Struthio camelus: one gene and its partner. The main gene of each other region encodes a partner of the protein of the gene in region 2 in a complex. Links are inferred from orthologs where the notes say so. Each region holds a gene or a part of one and is shown on either strand. Other genes may lie near its edges.

Evidence for each region.
Region 1: CNOT10 (region 2) and CNOT8 share a complex: the UniProt entries of both Homo sapiens proteins name them as parts of the CCR4-NOT complex. The link is inferred for Struthio camelus from reciprocal best matches to the Homo sapiens genes CNOT10 and CNOT8.

Annotation. Positions count from the first base shown.
Region 1 is NC_090954.1:11,999,925-12,008,749, reverse strand, and holds the start of CNOT8 (CCR4-NOT transcription complex subunit 8), read left to right. Parts: upstream 1-5,298; 5' UTR 5,299-5,475; intron 5,476-5,489; exon of another isoform or gene 5,490-5,638; intron 5,639-5,772; exon of another isoform or gene 5,773-5,958; intron 5,959-6,603; 5' UTR 6,604-6,686; coding exon 6,687-6,803; intron 6,804-8,478; coding exon 8,479-8,672; intron 8,673-8,825. UniProt on the Homo sapiens protein: Has 3'-5' poly(A) exoribonuclease activity for synthetic poly(A) RNA substrate. Its function seems to be partially redundant with that of CNOT7.
Region 2 is NC_090943.1:47,701,656-47,710,179, reverse strand, and holds the start of CNOT10 (CCR4-NOT transcription complex subunit 10), read right to left. Parts: upstream 3,655-8,524; 5' UTR 3,365-3,654; coding exon 3,343-3,364; intron 3,189-3,342; exon of another isoform or gene 2,915-3,188; intron 2,211-2,914; exon of another isoform or gene 2,063-2,210; intron 1,904-2,062; exon of another isoform or gene 1,689-1,903; intron 1-1,688. UniProt on the Homo sapiens protein: Component of the CCR4-NOT complex which is one of the major cellular mRNA deadenylases and is linked to various cellular processes including bulk mRNA degradation, miRNA-mediated repression, translational repression during translational initiation and general transcription regulation.

The DNA of each region.
Region 1 (8,825 bases), on a different chromosome or scaffold from region 2:
GAGTCTTACTTAGGCAAAGCCTTCCCATTTGAAATAGTGCTGCCATGTTTGCTTTTCCTTCCTCTCTCCAAAATCTCAGTATGTGCTACATTTATTGAGTCACATGTACAGAATAAAATTTTATGTTACTTATACTAAAGCAAGGTAAATCTTGATTGATCATGTTTTTCCCCATCTCACTACCTACTCTTTTTTTGTTGGATAATGTTGTCTTTTCTGACTCAGAATACACCAAATACATTAGCAGAAGCATTCATGTAACCATGGCTGCTTTGGCAAACCAAACATTCCATCCAACCCCTTGGCATTAAACTCATGCTGGCATGCCAGACAGCCCAGAATCAACCAATGAAGAGTTTGGCTGGCTGGAGCCATTTCAAAATATTACACAGAACTGATGCTGTTTAAAAGAGTTTCTTTTAGGTTATTTCTAACTAGTTAATACAAAATTTGATTCAAACCAAATTCTCACCTATAAAGTAATAATAATTATTTTGCTAGTCACACTCTCAATGTAAAAGGGAAAACATAAACTAGTCAGTAAAGAACTGTAATACAAAATACAATTTTTATTCTCAAGTACTTCTTCATTTCTCCAGCAACTGTTCATGAAGAGATCTGTTTTCACTGAACTTAACCATTCCAGTTATCAGAAAAAGATAGTCTGTCTAAGCCAGGTTTTAAAATGCTTGACGTAAGCTGAAAGGGAAACCTTTAGAAAGCTTTAGAAAAAGGAACTGCCATATTTTTGAGGTCTGTTTCAAAATTCACATTATTGTTTATATCCCACATCTGTTGTCCCCCTATATTTCCTCTTGCCAAGACAGTCCCAAGCTTCGACTGCACCGGTGTCCACTTCTCCTTGTACTTACCCAGGATGTATGTCTTGTTCTGACACCAAACAAACAGTCAGGCTGCTGGCAGGTGCAGAAGCTGACCAACAGGATATGTCTGTAATGATGGACTGACTGCCTAGCAGTTGCTTGGTCTGCCTTTTTCCCTCTTGCTTGAGTCTTCTATTTTAGAACTTACTTCACTGGAATCCACCCTTATAGTGCACAGGCAGTGGAAAACAACCTTGCCCGAGGGGAAAAAAAAAAAAAAAAAGGCTATAACTATTTGTGAAAATATAGAACTTACAGAAACGAAAACTTAAGGACCACCTACCTGGTCACTCCAAAAGTTGCATTTTAGCCACGCTATATGGACAGACACAGGACTATATTTCGTGTCTGGTGGGTGTCCTATCGTGCCAAGCACCACACGGATCTGAAGGCAACCAGAGTACCTGCAAGAGCTCACAATCACATTTTAAATAGATACATGACATTGCCTTAAAATTATTTCCTTGAAGTTTCTGTCATATATTTTCAACCTACTCTGCCCCTGAACTCAGGCTGCCCATTCTTTGCTCACCTCCTGCTGGTTGCAGCCTAGCAGAGTTCCTCTGTGTCTATTCAGAGCCCAGAGTTCAACTCCTCACCTTTCACTCCCGCTGCGGAAACTTTATGAGGGCTTAGGCAAAGGCGACAGGGGTGTGTTTCCAATCGAGAGCTGGCTGTCCCCTCCTAGAGAAGTCATGTGAAGCCAATGCCATGTCACTGCTAGTACAGGCAGTGTTCCCTTTGCATATGCACACACTGTCACTCATTTAAGCATTTGGAATGTATCTCTGCAGGTGAGAGTTTTCCACTGAGAGTTAATGCTTATATCTGGGAATAAAAAAGCCAGCTACACCTTAAAGATGAGTATCTTTTATAATGCACTAATTCATGTTTTGAGCACAAAACAAAGCGTCAGTGCAATTGAGTAAGTCAAAAGTGTATTTGTTAAAAACAGTACGGGTTATTGGGGAATCTGGTAAAAAAAAAAAGCAGTTCAGTTTTCAATATAAGTAAGTGTTGCACTAACTCTGTTGTTACAGTGTGTTTCAAACCAGTTACACCAGTTACAGTATTGGAACTACCTATAAGCAGAAGATGCAAATAGCTTAGAATGTGCTCAGTTCTGTTTAAATAAGATGTTTAAAGACCATGAAGTCTGTAATTATGGTATTACAGGTAGCAAGATGTAATTTGCAGTAGCATTTGTCTTCATTATGCAGATGTGGCCCCAATACACGTTATTTACCTAACATACAGTGCCCTATTATGAACCAAACTCTGAGAAGGGAGGGTGTTACTACTCACCATAACTTTCCAGATTTATTTTCCCACACAACAAAAAATAAGGAGTATTTCCTCTCCCTCCTAGTTAAACTTGTCTGGTGCATTCATAGGCGAAGCAATATACAGTGCTATTTTGTGAGCAACATCTCAGCTAGCCACGGTTAGAGCTGCGGAGAGATCTGCAAGCATGAGTAATGACAGTGTCTTGCTGTCTGTGCCTGGTTTCTTCTACCTCGCACTATACCTATGCTGTTACCAATTAACTTTTTCTGGAAGGAGAATATTCCCAGAACTCCCCTCCCAACATCACACTGTTTGTCCTCTTAGCGCTAAAACCATTTGCTGTTGCTTCATTTCAGATTTAAGACTGTGTTATTGTTTGCATTGACGCTTTCTCTTGACTAATTCTAACTATTTCTTAGTGACAAAAGAGTTTTTAATTCTTAGCAGTTGCTCCTAATTGTTATTTAGCATACAGCAGACTCAACAAGAAGGAAAGTGATTCCTTCAAACTATTTACACATACACAGAAGAGGAAGTGGAAAATGGCATTTCACGAGAGGGGTGCCATGTGAACGTTGTCCTGAGCTGATACTTATTTGGAATGGCTCTTCACTAGGAGAACTGTTCACCCAATACGCAAAAGTAGGTGAAAAGCCAGGGAGTTTTGCAGACCCCAGAGTTTCTTTTAAACCTGTTCAAATCAGACACAGGTTACAGCTGAAAGCTCTACACCCAATAGGAACAGACAACCAGTATTTTAGTCATATGAGGACAAAAATGTCATTTACTTTTTGGACTGCAAGTCTGGGTCTAGTCCAGGTTGGAGGTTATCTAAAAGCTGCTTCTATTTGTTGGTTAGCCTGGGCCCTGCACTGGTATCTTCATCACAAAACCCTCCAGTGTTACTGCCACCTTTGCCGAGGCTCAGCTTTGAGGAGTGCAAGAAGACTGCTTTCCTCTCAGTGGAAAGGATTTTTGATCAGACACTTCATAAAATAACTTCTCTTTGTTCACTCTCTACAGTTTTTGTAGTAGTCACTGTCTGTTTTGCTGTTTGTAAAAAATATTAGAAGGAGAAACACTAGGAATTAGCTTAAAGGATAGTATAAAACCATGCTAATAATTCCACTAATGACAAAGATGAATCCTGGAGTTCGTGAACCTCAGCTCATCATTAATTCCCTGTATACTAAGCTATAGTTCTAACCATCTGTGAGGGCATGTGTGTGCCACCTAATACTTGTTGAAACACCTTTGGAACAATAGAAGTTTTAGGAAAATGGAAATGATGGTTACAGCTAAAACATGTTCAGCAATACTTTTATCTTTTAACTCTGAAGTCATGTATTTTAAGATTTCCATATATAAGCTGTCTACTCTTTGTGCTGCTGAAAAGGGCATGATCCGGAATATACAGCTCATATTGACTAGTACAAAAATGTTGAGCTAAAGCCTGTCAATCCTCCTTGCAGCGTACTACATCTACACATGGACTGGTTTTGTTAGTGTCGTCTTAACAGAGCTGTATAGAGGGTGGGAAGCCTGTTCAGGAACCTGTTCTGGAGTGATGAATCTGAAAGCAAGTCTGGTAACTTCCAAATATAAGAACTATGGGACTGACATATTTTAAGAGCAGTCTGCCTTTTCCAGCTATTTTTCCTTTGTATGCAGCTGAAATTAGCCATGATGAAAAACACAAATTCTGTTCTCCTTGAGCAAAAGGTCTGTTTCAAACTACCGCCAGCACTCAAACATCCTAGCTTTTTTTTCTAACCTAGTTGCAAACTGGCAAACATATTAAGCATAATTTATCCCAACTGATTTTTTTCCTGCAACATATTTTCGATTAGGGTAACAAAGCATGCACATTTCTGTGTCCTGAGAAGATTCTTCCTCCCTTTTTGCCTGGATTCAACATAAATTCAAGAGCTGGGCTTATGAGCAAGAAAAATAAAGTACATACCTTACTCTGAACTCTTTAAGTGAAAAAAAAAACAAACAAACAAAAACCAAGAATCTAATTCCGTATTTATGGCGTGCTGCAATCTATCCCGATGTATTTACCTGATAACAACTTAGGTTTCTTTGCCCAAATTCAAGTGACCATAGGAAGAAAGGTGATTGCTTTCTGCTAGTCTAGCATGTTGCATAATATATGCATTATATGACCTAGAGACTGCAGGTCTAAGGTGAGATGGCAAAACAGTAACTATCATCTACGAAGATAAGCTTTGAATTAAAATGAAGTTCAGTAAATACTGCTTGATGTCCGTAGATGCTGACACCATCAAGGACACTTGCTAGAAAGCAGCAGTATTCAAATAAACTTATCCTAAGAGGTCTTACATTTCTGCTGAGGTATGAATACTCAGCCTGGGACACCGAAACATGTCGGACACGAAAGACAGTGACTCCCTCGCCCCGCCAGATAATTGTATCAGAATAGTAAGGAGGTAGCCGAGGTTCAAGAGGACAGACTCCAAGGGAACCCAAATGACAGGCAGGAAACAATTCTGCAGCAGTAGCAGAGCTGCAGAATTCTAGGTTGCAAACCTGCCCAAGAAGGCTGGCAGCCCGGACGAAGCGAGGTACTACCTCCGCTTAATTGTAACTACACAGGCTTCCAAATACATTGCCTGCCTGCCGGCAGCATCGGCCAGCAAAGCAGGAGAGCTGGCAGCGCCGTTACGCCAGACGCGTTACATGAGGCTGCTTTACCTGACGGTAAAGCTCCTGTTGCTAATGTAACCTAAATGGCATTTAAGGGGGCGGCCCGTCCCCTCGGCGAGGGCAGCTGTTTCTCTCGGGGCTCTGCCACCCGGCAGGGCCCGCGGGCCGCGGCCGCCCCGACCGGGGCCGGCGCCGAGCTAACGAGGCGGCGCGGCCCGAAGGGGTCGGTCCCTCAGGGAGAGATCACCTAACGCCTCCCCCACCCTCACCCCCCGGGCGGGCTTTGGACTCGCCCGACGCGTCCGGCGCGGGGAGCTCGGGCGAGCCCATTAGCTGCCCCGGCAGGGGGAGGGAAGACAGGCGACTTGTCACAAGGGCAACGGCTCCGCGCAGGCGCAACCCGGGCGGAGCCCCGCGTGGCGCTCCGGGCTCCCCCCGCCCCCCTCCCTTCCTCTCCGCGGGAGCGCGCGCCACACGCGCGCCCGGCCACACACCCCGCCGCGCGCCCTAGCCCGTTTCCCATATCTCTCGCGAGAGCGGGCGGTGGCCGGGGGCAGCCCGGAAGTTCCGCCCCTCCTGGTGGCCGCATCGCGCCTGCGCGGAGGCGAGTGGCCCGGCCCAAGCTTCCGGGCAGGTAGCGGGGCGGGGGGAGGGGGCGGGGAGGCGATGGGGAGCGCCGGAGCAGACGAGTCGCGGGGGTGAGCGCGGGCTAGAGCGGCCGGGCGGCCCACAGGAAGAGGAGCGGCGAGGCCCAGCTCCCCGGAGCCGCGAGCGGCGGGGCCTGGCGGCGCCAGCAGGTGCGGGCGGGGCGGCCCGGGCGCTGCGGGAGGCCCCCAGCGCCGGCAGAGCTCGGGGCGCCGGGATCTCCCCTCCCCTCCCCTCCCCTCCCCTCCCCTCCCTGTGCCCCCCCGGTGGCGGCGGGCCCGGCAGCGGCCTGAGAGGCCTGGACGGCCGGGCGGGCCCGGGGCGGCAGCGCGGCCTTCGCGGCTGAGCCCGTCCGCTGCCGGGAAGCGGCTCGGCCCGGCGGCGGCTGACGGCCCCCCGGCCGTGAGGCCCGAGCCATTAGCAGCCGCTCGCAGAAAGGCTCTGGCAGTTGCCTCACGTCCCTCTCCCCGCTGTAGGTACCCTCAGCTAACTTCGTGCGAGCATACCGGCAGTTTGCTGCAGTACCTGAGCCTTAGCTGCGTATTTCTGTAATAATTTTGCCCGTGTGGTTTCAGAAAGTGATAGACAAGCAGTCATGCCAAGTGTGATTTATCCTAGGCGTTGTACTGCTGAAACGGCATTAGTATAAACTGGAATACCTTTCTTTTTCAGTGTTTCCTGAATTACATCAGAGAAGCATCTGCCTTTATAAGTGTCCTTTGTAAAGCAATCTATTACTTGTCTTCAAAACTATCCCAATAGCACCTTGGTGGAAGCTAAGCAAAATTAAGTGTGAGGATTCCCTGTTTGTGCATCTTATGCCTAGAGTTTCAGAGTTTATGCCAGGAGAAGATGAAAGGGAGAGGCACTATTGACTTGCATAACTGGACTCTATTAATTGTATGTCTACTCTTGTAACACAAACGGATGGTTTAGTTTTTCTTCTCTTTCAGCATGTTTAAAGGAAGTGATAAAAGCAAGGAAACAGTTAGTGTAAAACTTTAGCTTTGCTATTTGAGGTTAAGAATAGAAACGTGACTTACTCTGCTAGTGCATTCATTCAGATACCTAGATCTTTCTTCGTGTAAAGTACTGTATGTTTCTCTCTTTAATGCAGCAAACTGATTAGATCACACAGCTTGCAATTCTACGCTGTCAACTGAATTCAACATCAGCTGTTTTTACTACAATCCCTGCAAGATGCCAGCAGCCCTTGCAGAGAACAGCCAAGTTATCTGTGAAGTATGGGCAAACAATCTGGAAGAAGAGATGAGGAAAATTCGAGAGATTGTTCTAAGTTACAGTTACATTGCAATGGTAAGCATGTTATACTTGACCTTATTGCCACAGTCAGGGGATTTTTTAGGGGCAGGAGAATAAATTGATTCTTGAACCAGAAATGGTGTTTTCCTGTGACCAAACTGAGCTAAAAGTTAAGTAGTGAAAACTTAGAAAGCTGTTCAGTTATAAGGACTTCATGGATTTTGGTAAACATAGTATTCCGTACAGATTGAATGAGAGGTGGGGAAGTGAAAACCACTTTCAACATCTGAAATCATTTAATATTTAACTATACCCATTGCATAAACTAATGCAGTCTCAAATTAAAGAGATCAGATGTACAATTGGGTTTAAATCTTCAGATTTCACTGGTATACTTGTCCTCTGAATGCCTGTTTCCTTTTGGCTATGGGAAATGCCATGATACTGTAGGACAAAAGGCCTGCAAGTTGCAACTTGGTGGCTGGTAGGAATGCCTCCTTTTTTTTACTGCGGTCAGATGCTGATTCTTATGGAATAGATTTTTCTGGCTGCAGGTGTGGCAATGTGTTCGAAGAGTTTTATTTCAGAAGACCAAGGATCTTAATGAGAACTCTAGTTTCAAGGTGAAGGGAGAGATGGGAGGAATGGTTTCTTTCCTGCTCTTAAAAATAGGTATCTGCTCAGCAGGAGCCAGTTAATTACATAACTGTTTCTAGTTATTGTACTATGTCAACTTTGCTTAGGGAGTCTAAACTTCAAGACATTCGAAGTCCTTAATAGAAGTGTGGCATAAAAATACATATCCCTGCAGAGTATATGTTATTCAAAAATGAAACACTTAAAATCCTGTAAATGTGATTCAGTTTTGTTGTCATCAGTTGGTGGGAAACAAGCTTTCTTGCTTCTTTGCTCTGTTTGATGTTAATGAAAGCATGTTTAGATAGATCTATGCTAATGGCTGGACTGATATCATATATGAATAACTGGGCAGTAAGACTGGACACAAAAAGATTAGGCTAGGAGGAAATGTTGTCAGATGCATAATACTGGATTCTTTATGAAAGTTTTTGGATATGTTCTCTATCAAGCTGGTCAGAAGTTATGTGAATAAATTTGAGTGTAAAACTAGTCTAGAAGTTAGAGGTTTAGTCAAGATAGCACGCAATCACTAGCCAAGTAAAATGTTTTTTATGTAACACACAGTTTCTCTTTTGTTGAAGTCTGTTTTGATTGGCAGTAGCTTTTGTTAATTTAGGTGTTGGTTGTTTTTCAAAAACAGTGAAGATTATCACTAGCTGGACTATCACATTAAGACTGTGAGTGCTAAATTTAACTTGTATTTAGAACGTAAAAGAACACTGAATAAATATAAAATGCCCATTTTAGTGTATTTAGGGAAAATGAGAGGATTAGTCTTTCAGGAGAGAGATGTTTAGATTATGCAGTAGTGCATATTGGGTGATTTTATAACTTTTTTTTGCTCTGGAAGGAAACAACACTGAAAGAGGATACCTGGAATGAATGAATGAATATAATGATTAATGAATTGTTTAGTTTTTTTTTTTCCCAGTAGCTTAAAATACTTTTTTTCCTTTCTGCCTTCTATTATGTAAGTAATTTCATAGAAAAATGTACAGATTCAGCGCTGGGACCTAAAAGTGTGGAACTGAACGTAAGACTGCTAATAAAGGAAGTGATGTAATTTTTTCCCCCCCCCCTCCTTTACTAGGACACAGAATTTCCTGGAGTTGTTGTAAGGCCAATTGGTGAATTCCGCAGTTCCATAGACTATCAATACCAGCTCCTTCGTTGTAATGTTGACCTTCTGAAAATTATCCAGCTGGGCCTAACTTTCACAAATGAGAAGGGAGAATATCCTTCCGGAATCAACACCTGGCAGTTTAACTTCAAATTCAACCTTACGTGAGTCTTCTGAGCTAGGGAACGATCACCTATTCTCTGCTGATGCACTGATGTTTTCCTTTGGCAAATGCAGGTGTCACTGGGTTCATCACTGGTGAATGATTCTGACCAATACAAATTCAGAGTCAAATACAGAAAGATTATGTGGGAATC
Region 2 (8,524 bases):
GCAGAGAAATCTTAACTCACCACAATTTCAACAGAATTCAGGGTTACTCAGCACTCGTAGAGGGAATCCTTAGCAGGCTGAAGAACTACATGCACCTGCTACAAAATCTGACCAAGACACTGATCAACCCCACTCGCATCGCCTTTTCCTTAAGAAGGAAAGGCAGAAGGGGAGCCTTCGACAAGCCAAGGCTTTCTATAATTAAAGAAAAAGGGAACAAAAGGTACCTCTTCTTCAAGCTTAGAATACAACAGATCCAATTCCTGCTCTAAATCTTGTGGTTGTACAGCCAAACAGAAAGCTAGCACTCTGAGGAACTCCAGCATGGCAGTTAATTAAGTAAATGTATTTGCTCTCTAACTTTCATGCTGAAAATTGTATTGTCTGCTTTACTTCCTCAGTACGCCTTTCAGATTACGCTAGTAAAAATAACAGTAAAGCAAAGAGTTGAGAATCTGAAACATCTGAGCGTTGATAACTGTCAGTCAGGTCAAGAAGTCCCCCACAGTTTTAATCAAGACAAAAGTTCCGTACTGTCTCAGAACTAGGTACTGAATGCACCCGTATGAAAAGGGAGGTTCTAGTTTTCAGAAACCACTACATGCAATAAAAACATGTTTACGCAATGTTCCATGGAGTCAGGGTTCACACAGCGAGTTGAATAATGCTGAAGATGTCATTGACAGCTACTTGTCACATCACTATAAGCACTTTCACAAACCTGTTATAGTGCCATGAAAACCCACATAAGTAATTATGGTATGCAAGTTCACAAAACAGGCATCTCAAAGAAACTGGGCTTATGAAAGTCTGATTCCCGAAGCAAAGCGCCTTTTCTTCAATTAAGAGAAAGTTAGGTCAAAGAGACTGCAAGCTAGTTGTCTAAGAAAAGCACTCCTGAATATCTGCTTTACACCTATTTCCTAGGAAAGAACACAACAGGTCTACAAATAGATTTCACTATACCTCTTAAGTCTCCTAGTATGAAATTGGAGACTATTTTAAGCAAAAACAGGCCTTCCCTTTCTCCCATAAGGTTAGTTTTATGGCTCCAAACTGATCGACTTCCTCTAATCTACTGTAATCCTCCCAAACTTGTTTAAACCAGGATCTATTGCTTTGGTTGATCTTAATTATTGAGATACCTCACAAACAAGACATCTAAAGTAAGGCTGCCCCAGATACCAGAAAGAACCCTCCAATCCCACTTATAAATTTAGGAGAAAAAGTACTCTTATTATCCTGACTGCAAACGTCTATCAACTGCTTGCAAATAATTATGTCAATACTTCCGGAGGCGTTTGAAAACGAAAGTACATGGTTCACTGGCAAAACATACAGCATGCTACTTAGATCTAGTGATCTTTGGCGTTCTTGTAGAAGCACGTGGTCCGTGAGGTACAAGGCATGCTAGTCATTATCAACATGCTCCTATTTGTAGAGCAGCTACAAATGTCAGCCGAACTATTTGAAACAGTGTAGATTCTCTGTTTTACAAACGACAGGACACAATTTATCTATGCAAACTTTATCTACACGTGGAGCTGTTTTGTTTGTTTTTACACTTTTCACGTTGTCTAACCTTCTCAAGTACAAAGCATCTCTAAAACTCATAGTTCTCAGACTAGTGGCGAGGAGCAGAAATGACATCCAGGAAAAGGGAAAGGATGTAAAAATTATCTGCTCACATTTTGATCTGGAGAAAGCTGCTGCACTGGGTTGGATGTAAAAGAAAGCAAGTCAGGAAACTATCTTCTTGGTTAGCAACCTGTATCACATGGGGCTGAGCAGCAGAAACACTGTGTCAGGGAGACATTTCTTTTTGCATCAGCAGGTAGTTGCTCCTCCTGGAGAAGTTGCACCAGGTGGACAGCAGAATCTGCTTTGTGGGGAACTCGTTCTACTAGAGGAGAACAAGGAAGAGCATGAGATTGCCACCTGCAAAGGGAGATTGTCCTCCTCTTTGGCCTGCTGACACAACATCATATAAGCAATGAGAAGTCACATCTCCCACATACACAGACCCAAAGGACAGTGACTGCAATCGTTATCCTTCTCCTACCTGTTATCTCCAAGGATTGCTGCTCTTGAGCCCTCTCGTTTCCAGGCCCTTTAAATTACACCTTGTATAAACTGTGCTGTTGAATGCCAGAGCATCTCTCGAATTATTTTATATTTCCAAACTCTAGAGGCAGGGGGATAATCTCCTCCTGGGAAAGAGAGGAATCTATCACAGGTGTCTCACTCCAACAACATTTTGATGGCTATGAAGAGCAGCCAAAGCATTCAGCCCTTCTAAGGAGACAACAACAGTTTGTGGCTCAGAAAGTACATTTTTCTATGAAGCATTGTGCTACTAATCTCAACATATTAGATTTAACACTGCACACTAAGAAGGAAACATTTTTCACTCAGAAGTTATTCATAACTCACTCTGCTATAGGCACATACATGCAGATATGCAGACTATCTAGCCAATGTGTTTGCTTCATTTGGACAAGTATTTTTCTTCTAACCTAGTACAACAGACAAGTTCCTGACTTCACCATTTCCAAGAAAGGGGAAATATATAATCTCCTAACGCCAAACTTTCCTGGTAGTTTATAATCACAGTGAGCTTCTTTTAAATAAATGCAGGACGGTTTAATACGCATCACTTAGCAAGGTACACTAATCTTTCCCACGGTGGTCTTCAGATACTGAGAGCAAGTGTGACACTTAGCATATTGAAAGACAATTTTCAGAGGCAATTCCAAGAAACGCTCCCACGGCAGAAGCCCAGCTGAAGGACTCGAGGACACAAGCAGATCCTTTTGGCTTTCCCTCACATTGCCCACTTCATCCCCACCCAGCCACCACCTGAGGGAAGGAACCTCGCAGCCAGGAGGGCTTCCTGCATCAAGCGCAGTCTTACGGGAGAGGAAGAGCAGTAGCTATCAGCGCCAGCAAGTCATACAGTAATTGTAAGTCTGGTTTATTGTGGTCGCCTTCTTCGAAATCGCCCCCCAACGCCGTCGGAAGGCCCCCGTTGAACAGACTAAGCCAGCCGCAACTTCTGTTGCGGTTACTCAGCCCCGGGGGAAGCCCCGTCCCCCCGCCGCCCTCGGGTTAGTAACCGCCGAGGCCTCGGGGCGCCGCCGCGACCCCGGCAGGCAGCCCCGCCGGCGGAGCAAGCCCGCCAGCCGGCCGCCCCGCCGCCGCCGCCGCCGCCCGCGCGCTACTTCCCTCGGCGGAAGGACACGGGGACGAGACGCCGCGGCCTTGGCCGCGTCTCCTTCCGCCCCGCGCGGCCCAGGTGCCCCGCGCGCGGAGCGGCCCGACGGCGGCTCGCCCCGCACTCACCCGCGGCCTTGTCCGCGGCCATCTCCGCCGCCTCCGAGCTCCGTCCGAGAGCGCTGGTGCGGGGCCGAGGCTCCCCCACCCCGTCCCAGCAGCACTAGCCGCGCTCGCGGACCACCCCCCCCTCCTCCCCCGGGACTACTTTTCCGCCGCGGACTCTCAGCGCCCCGCGCCGCGCCTCCGCCCCGCTAACTGCGCCACTCGCTCCCTATTCGCCCGCCGCTTCCGGGTTCCCGGCGGCCTCGCGACGTCCGCCCGTTGCTGGGGTTCGCGCCTCTGACGTCAGGACGCCGTGCAGCGCCCCGCCCCCACGCCGCGAGGGGAGGCCGCGGGGCGGGGTGGCGCATGCGCATCACGTCGCGGCACTCACTGCCACCCCCCCCCAACACACTCCCCCCCCCCCCCCCCGGCGCTGCCGGGCTGCGTCGGGGCGCCATGTTACGGCTGGCGGCCGTTGGGGGGTGACGGGGGCGCTCCAGGGACGGACGCGGGCCTGGAAAACAGCCCGGCCTGTTTCTTACCCCAGCGGGGCGGAGGGGGGCCCTGGCGGCCGTTGGGACCCGGCTCGGCCTCGCTAACGCGCCGTCTAACGGTCCCCGCAAGGCCCAAACGGGGGACGTCTCCTTGCGTTAGAGGGACAGCGTTTCAACAGGCTGCTTCGGTTTTGCAGCTGCTTTTTCCGCAGCCGTCCGTGGGTGTATTGGCTGCTGCGTCTTAAACCTCCCCCCCGCCCCCCGCCCTTGGTCTAGACATGTTAGGATCGTTTCCTGAGCAGCCAATCCCGATAACAGTGTAAGGCTTGGACTTTTCAAATGTCACTGATCTGGTATGAAGAAAAGATGTTCCTTATTAGGAAAGCAAAGTAATTTTTAAAAAAGTACCTGTTAATTCCCTTCCCGGCCTCTTCCTCAGCAGAGCGCCGTCCTTCAGAGTAAAATTTTTGAGATGCTGGGACGGAAACATACTACACGGCCCTCTAAAACTGAGGGTTTGGGTCTGAGCTCAAATACATCTGTTTTGAGAAGCGGTAGATCCTGTTCAACAACAGCAAACTACCTTGGAGGTAGAAGGCAAACCCCAACCCTGGCTGGTTTCCATGTAGATGATGGGGAGCACACTAAAGGGATTTTCCCCTCAGCATCCCAGCATGAAACTCCACTTTGATAATTCCCATTATTTACTTGTAACTCATGCTGCATTTTCATTCTTTTCCTAAAAGTGCATCAAATAACCAGATTTTCCTGAAATAATCTATCTTGACTTTCAGTTTGTCTTCGAATTAATCACTTCAAAATATTGACTACTTTATATGGTCTTATATGGATTATCAGCCTATCTTAAGTGTTGTTAAAGTGCTCATCACCATAGTAATTAAGGTAGATAAGGTGCCATTGTGTCTGCATCCTAAATTCCTTTGTAAACTGATGTTTGAGTACCAGTTTAATCCAGCCGGGAGTCTTCCCTCCCTCTACACCCCAGGGAAGCCTTGTTTCACACAATGAATCTGAAGTGTCCTTGAAATTCAGTGTGCTGTGCTGCAAAGTAACCCCCCCTCGGATTTAAAAGACTCCAATTAGCATTTTTTATTGTTACCATTATCTTTGTAATTAAAGTACGAGACATGGGATAAATGACGTTTGCAGCATCCAAAATAGTTATACAGATTTTTAAATATTTATTAATGAGTTGTGAATACTCTGTGTAGTATGTAAGCATTCATCTCTGCTAAGGTACATCTTTGTAAGCTCAGCAGTCATGTGTTGTCCTGCCTCTCAGGTAGGGCTGTCCTGTGGATAGGCCTAGGGGAACCGCTTCCACTTCTGAACCCCCACTATATACGTTCGTGGGAGCTGGGATGGGGTTAGGAAAACGGAGGGGGGGTGCTGTCTCAGGCACCAAAAGGCTCACTGTGTTTCTGTACCTAGGAGTCAAATTCCTGAGACACGGGGACAGCTAGCCTTAATTGCCCCTCTGTGAATGTCACTTTGCATCATTATGTTGTGTGCTTTCCCTGTGTCGCAGTGGGGTTCCTGAAAAACACTGCTTCAAATACTTTTCTCATTGGTTAATATGGGTATAATTTCCTGTATTTTTCCATATTATTTCTCCAGATGTAGCTCTCCAAGACCTCTCCCCCCCCTTCCCCAATTTTATTCCTGTTAAACATCTACTTGCATTTCTGTTTGGGACAGTCAGTGTGGATATACCTGATTCTGCTTAATATATTCTACCTTACATGGTTGTGACCCTGTTACCAGCTGGCAGCATTTGTCAAGAGACACCAGACTGTCTAAAACATACTGCACCTGTTGTATGTCTCTTGCACATTAGATTAAGGTTTGAGGATGAAGTTTGTCCTTGGAGAAGTCGATGGCAAAACTAGTTTAGTGGAAGAAGGATTTCTTTTTACCAGTCTGTTTGTCATAGGCATCCAGCTACTATACTATACTGTGGGGCAGAACAGAGAGGTGAGGTCTATAAGGAAAGTAACATTTTGTTTAACTAAGGGGTACAGTTGGAAAAAAACAGACGCACTTTAGGCAGGCCAGCACTGAATGCCTTGAACCATCATGGCTTTAACCATCTGAGTCCTTTACCATGAAAGATTTTGGAAACATTATTTCAGGAGTTTTGAAGAGCAGGGCAAAACATTTTTTATTTCATAACTGAAATTCTGAATATTTCAAATTTTGTTTGCTGGTTCTCTAATTTGTTGCATATCCTTTTGCAAGAAATAGTTGCTGGTCCAGGCCATTAGGTCATATTTGTACTAGAGAACATTTGCCAATAAAGTTGTAATAGCAAGTCTTTCTAATGTGTATATATTTACTAGTGTAAATATTTATTTATGCTGATATATTCTTGCTTGGTAAGCAATAGAACCTATAAAGTGAAAAGGACTTTTCTACTAGTATAGCTATATATTCCCTATGACTTTTATCAGTATAACAAAGTTGCCAGACGTCCACCCTTCCTGACGGAACAAAAATGTCTTATGTAGACCTGATGTGAACGTCTCCCTCTCTCAAGACTTTCGTATAGTATTTGTCCCCAGTGTCTAAACAGTAATCTGCATGTTCCAGAGTACGCTGTGCATGAATTTACTGCTCCCTGCTATAGCTTTTATTGATAGTTCTGTTAAAGCTCATTCAGCTTCAAGTATAGCAGCACTGATATACAGCTTCTCTTGGTGTCTACATCATGATATCTAGAGGAGAGTCACAAGAGTTTACTTTATCCATCACGCTGTGAATTTACTCTGGGGCCAGTTTACCTGAGAGGTAATTACGACAATCTTTGCTATAGCTTGCAGCATTGTTTCGGCAAGTTTTTGACTTTTGTTTCCAAAACCAAAGTATTTGTTCCATTTCTATGTCTCAGGCAAAATTATTTTTAATGCCTGGCCTCTTTTTTCAATATGATTTATTTAAAAAAAGAACACAGGACAAATAAAGCTAGGAGTTTTTTCTTCCTTTCTGATTAATGATTATTGAATTTAATGTTTATGTATGTGGAGGGTGCTGAAGGGCAGGGAAAAGACCCGTGCCCTTTATTAGCATTGCAGTTCAAGCATAGAGTCATGCAATCAAAGATTTTCTTGATATTTTTCCTTCAAAAATTAAATGTTCTGATAGCTTCGTTATCTTCCTGTAAAGGTAGGGGAGAGACGTCCTTTAATACATGCATGTATAATTTGCCTTCTGCCTGAGGTATATAGTAGCTCTTCTCGAGTGAGCAGGTAAAAATGATCTCTGGTCTCAGTGTGGCAGGTACGCCACCTGCTGTGGAAGATCCAGAATAAAATCAAATACCATTTGAGAGAGAAGAACGTTTTGTGTGAAACAAAACATTTCTCTTAAAACATGAGTTTTAGTTTTTCAGGAAAGAAATAATCCAGTTCAGGTTTTCAGTCCCAACACTCAGTTTGGAAAAACAAAAATGGTCCAGATTATTCTAGGTTTCTTTTGCCCATTTGTAGGCTACATCAAAGGGAGCCAATTGTAATTTGTAACGTGTAAGTGGAAAAAAAAAAAAGCAGTTTCAGGAGGAATAAATCCTATCTATTCGCAGGCAGAGGACAGTTCCAGAATCCCACTCCTCCTTCTTACAGTACCTTCCTTTAGCAAACTAGACTTAGTAGGCCTGCGTTTCCTCGCTGATTTTGGACTCACAAGGCAAATGACTTGTCAAGGCTCTTTTTTAAGTTCTTGTAGACCCAAAAATGGCAGGACAGCAATCCCCTACCCAGCCTATCAGTGGCAGATAACCTCTCCACTGCTGCGTATGAGAAAGATCTGGACTGTAGAGGAGAAAACCAGGGTTTCTGACATCCCGAGGCACTGCTGGGCTACAGAAGAGAAGGAAGACTATGACCTGCTGCAAAGGGAGCTGGGAAAGTTACAATGCTTTTGTCAGATACAACAGTATGGAAAACTCCGCTGAAGTTTACCCACTCTGTTTGCGTAGTAAATTCCAAAATGCAGATGGTTTAACACCACAAATTATCTCTGCTATTAATATGGCTTCCTATGCCTTGCTACTCAACATTTTCAAAGCTTTTAACCCCTAGGTGGCACTACGTAGTAAAGTAAGGCATATTTAAGTAATACAGTCCCCCCGCCACCCCCGCAGATGCACTTCTTATTTAAAATGTTAACTAGTGTGAATTTGAGCATGTTCAATGCAGCTATTAGTCTCAGCTCGATAATCCTTTTTCTCTGAATCTGTCTCTCAAAGTCGATAAAAATGGTGCCATGAATCTGATTTAAATATGGAATTTGTGCTTTCAGAATGCTGTGGAAGAGATTTTCCTGGAAAAGTATGGTGCATCATAACCCATTACAGTTTTTGTTCTGTCTATGAGCAACGAATAAAATAGCATAGGCTGTTTACTTTAGCTATTCATTTGGTGCAATAGGAGTAGATTGGTAGGTGTAAGCAGCTGGTGCTGTAGTTCCTCACATCTCCAGGATATTTGGCACACAGAAGTTATTTTGGATCAGGTAAGGACTGGCCAGTTGCCATGCACCTCCATTACACATTTTGAAACTCTCTGAAGTGAAGACATCCCACAAAACTTTACTTCTCAACTGTGGGGCTTCTAGGAATCAGCACGTTCCCCTTTCGTCTGTCCCATGCAGATATTTTGCACCAGTCTCAGTCATAAAAACTTCACGCATAAAAG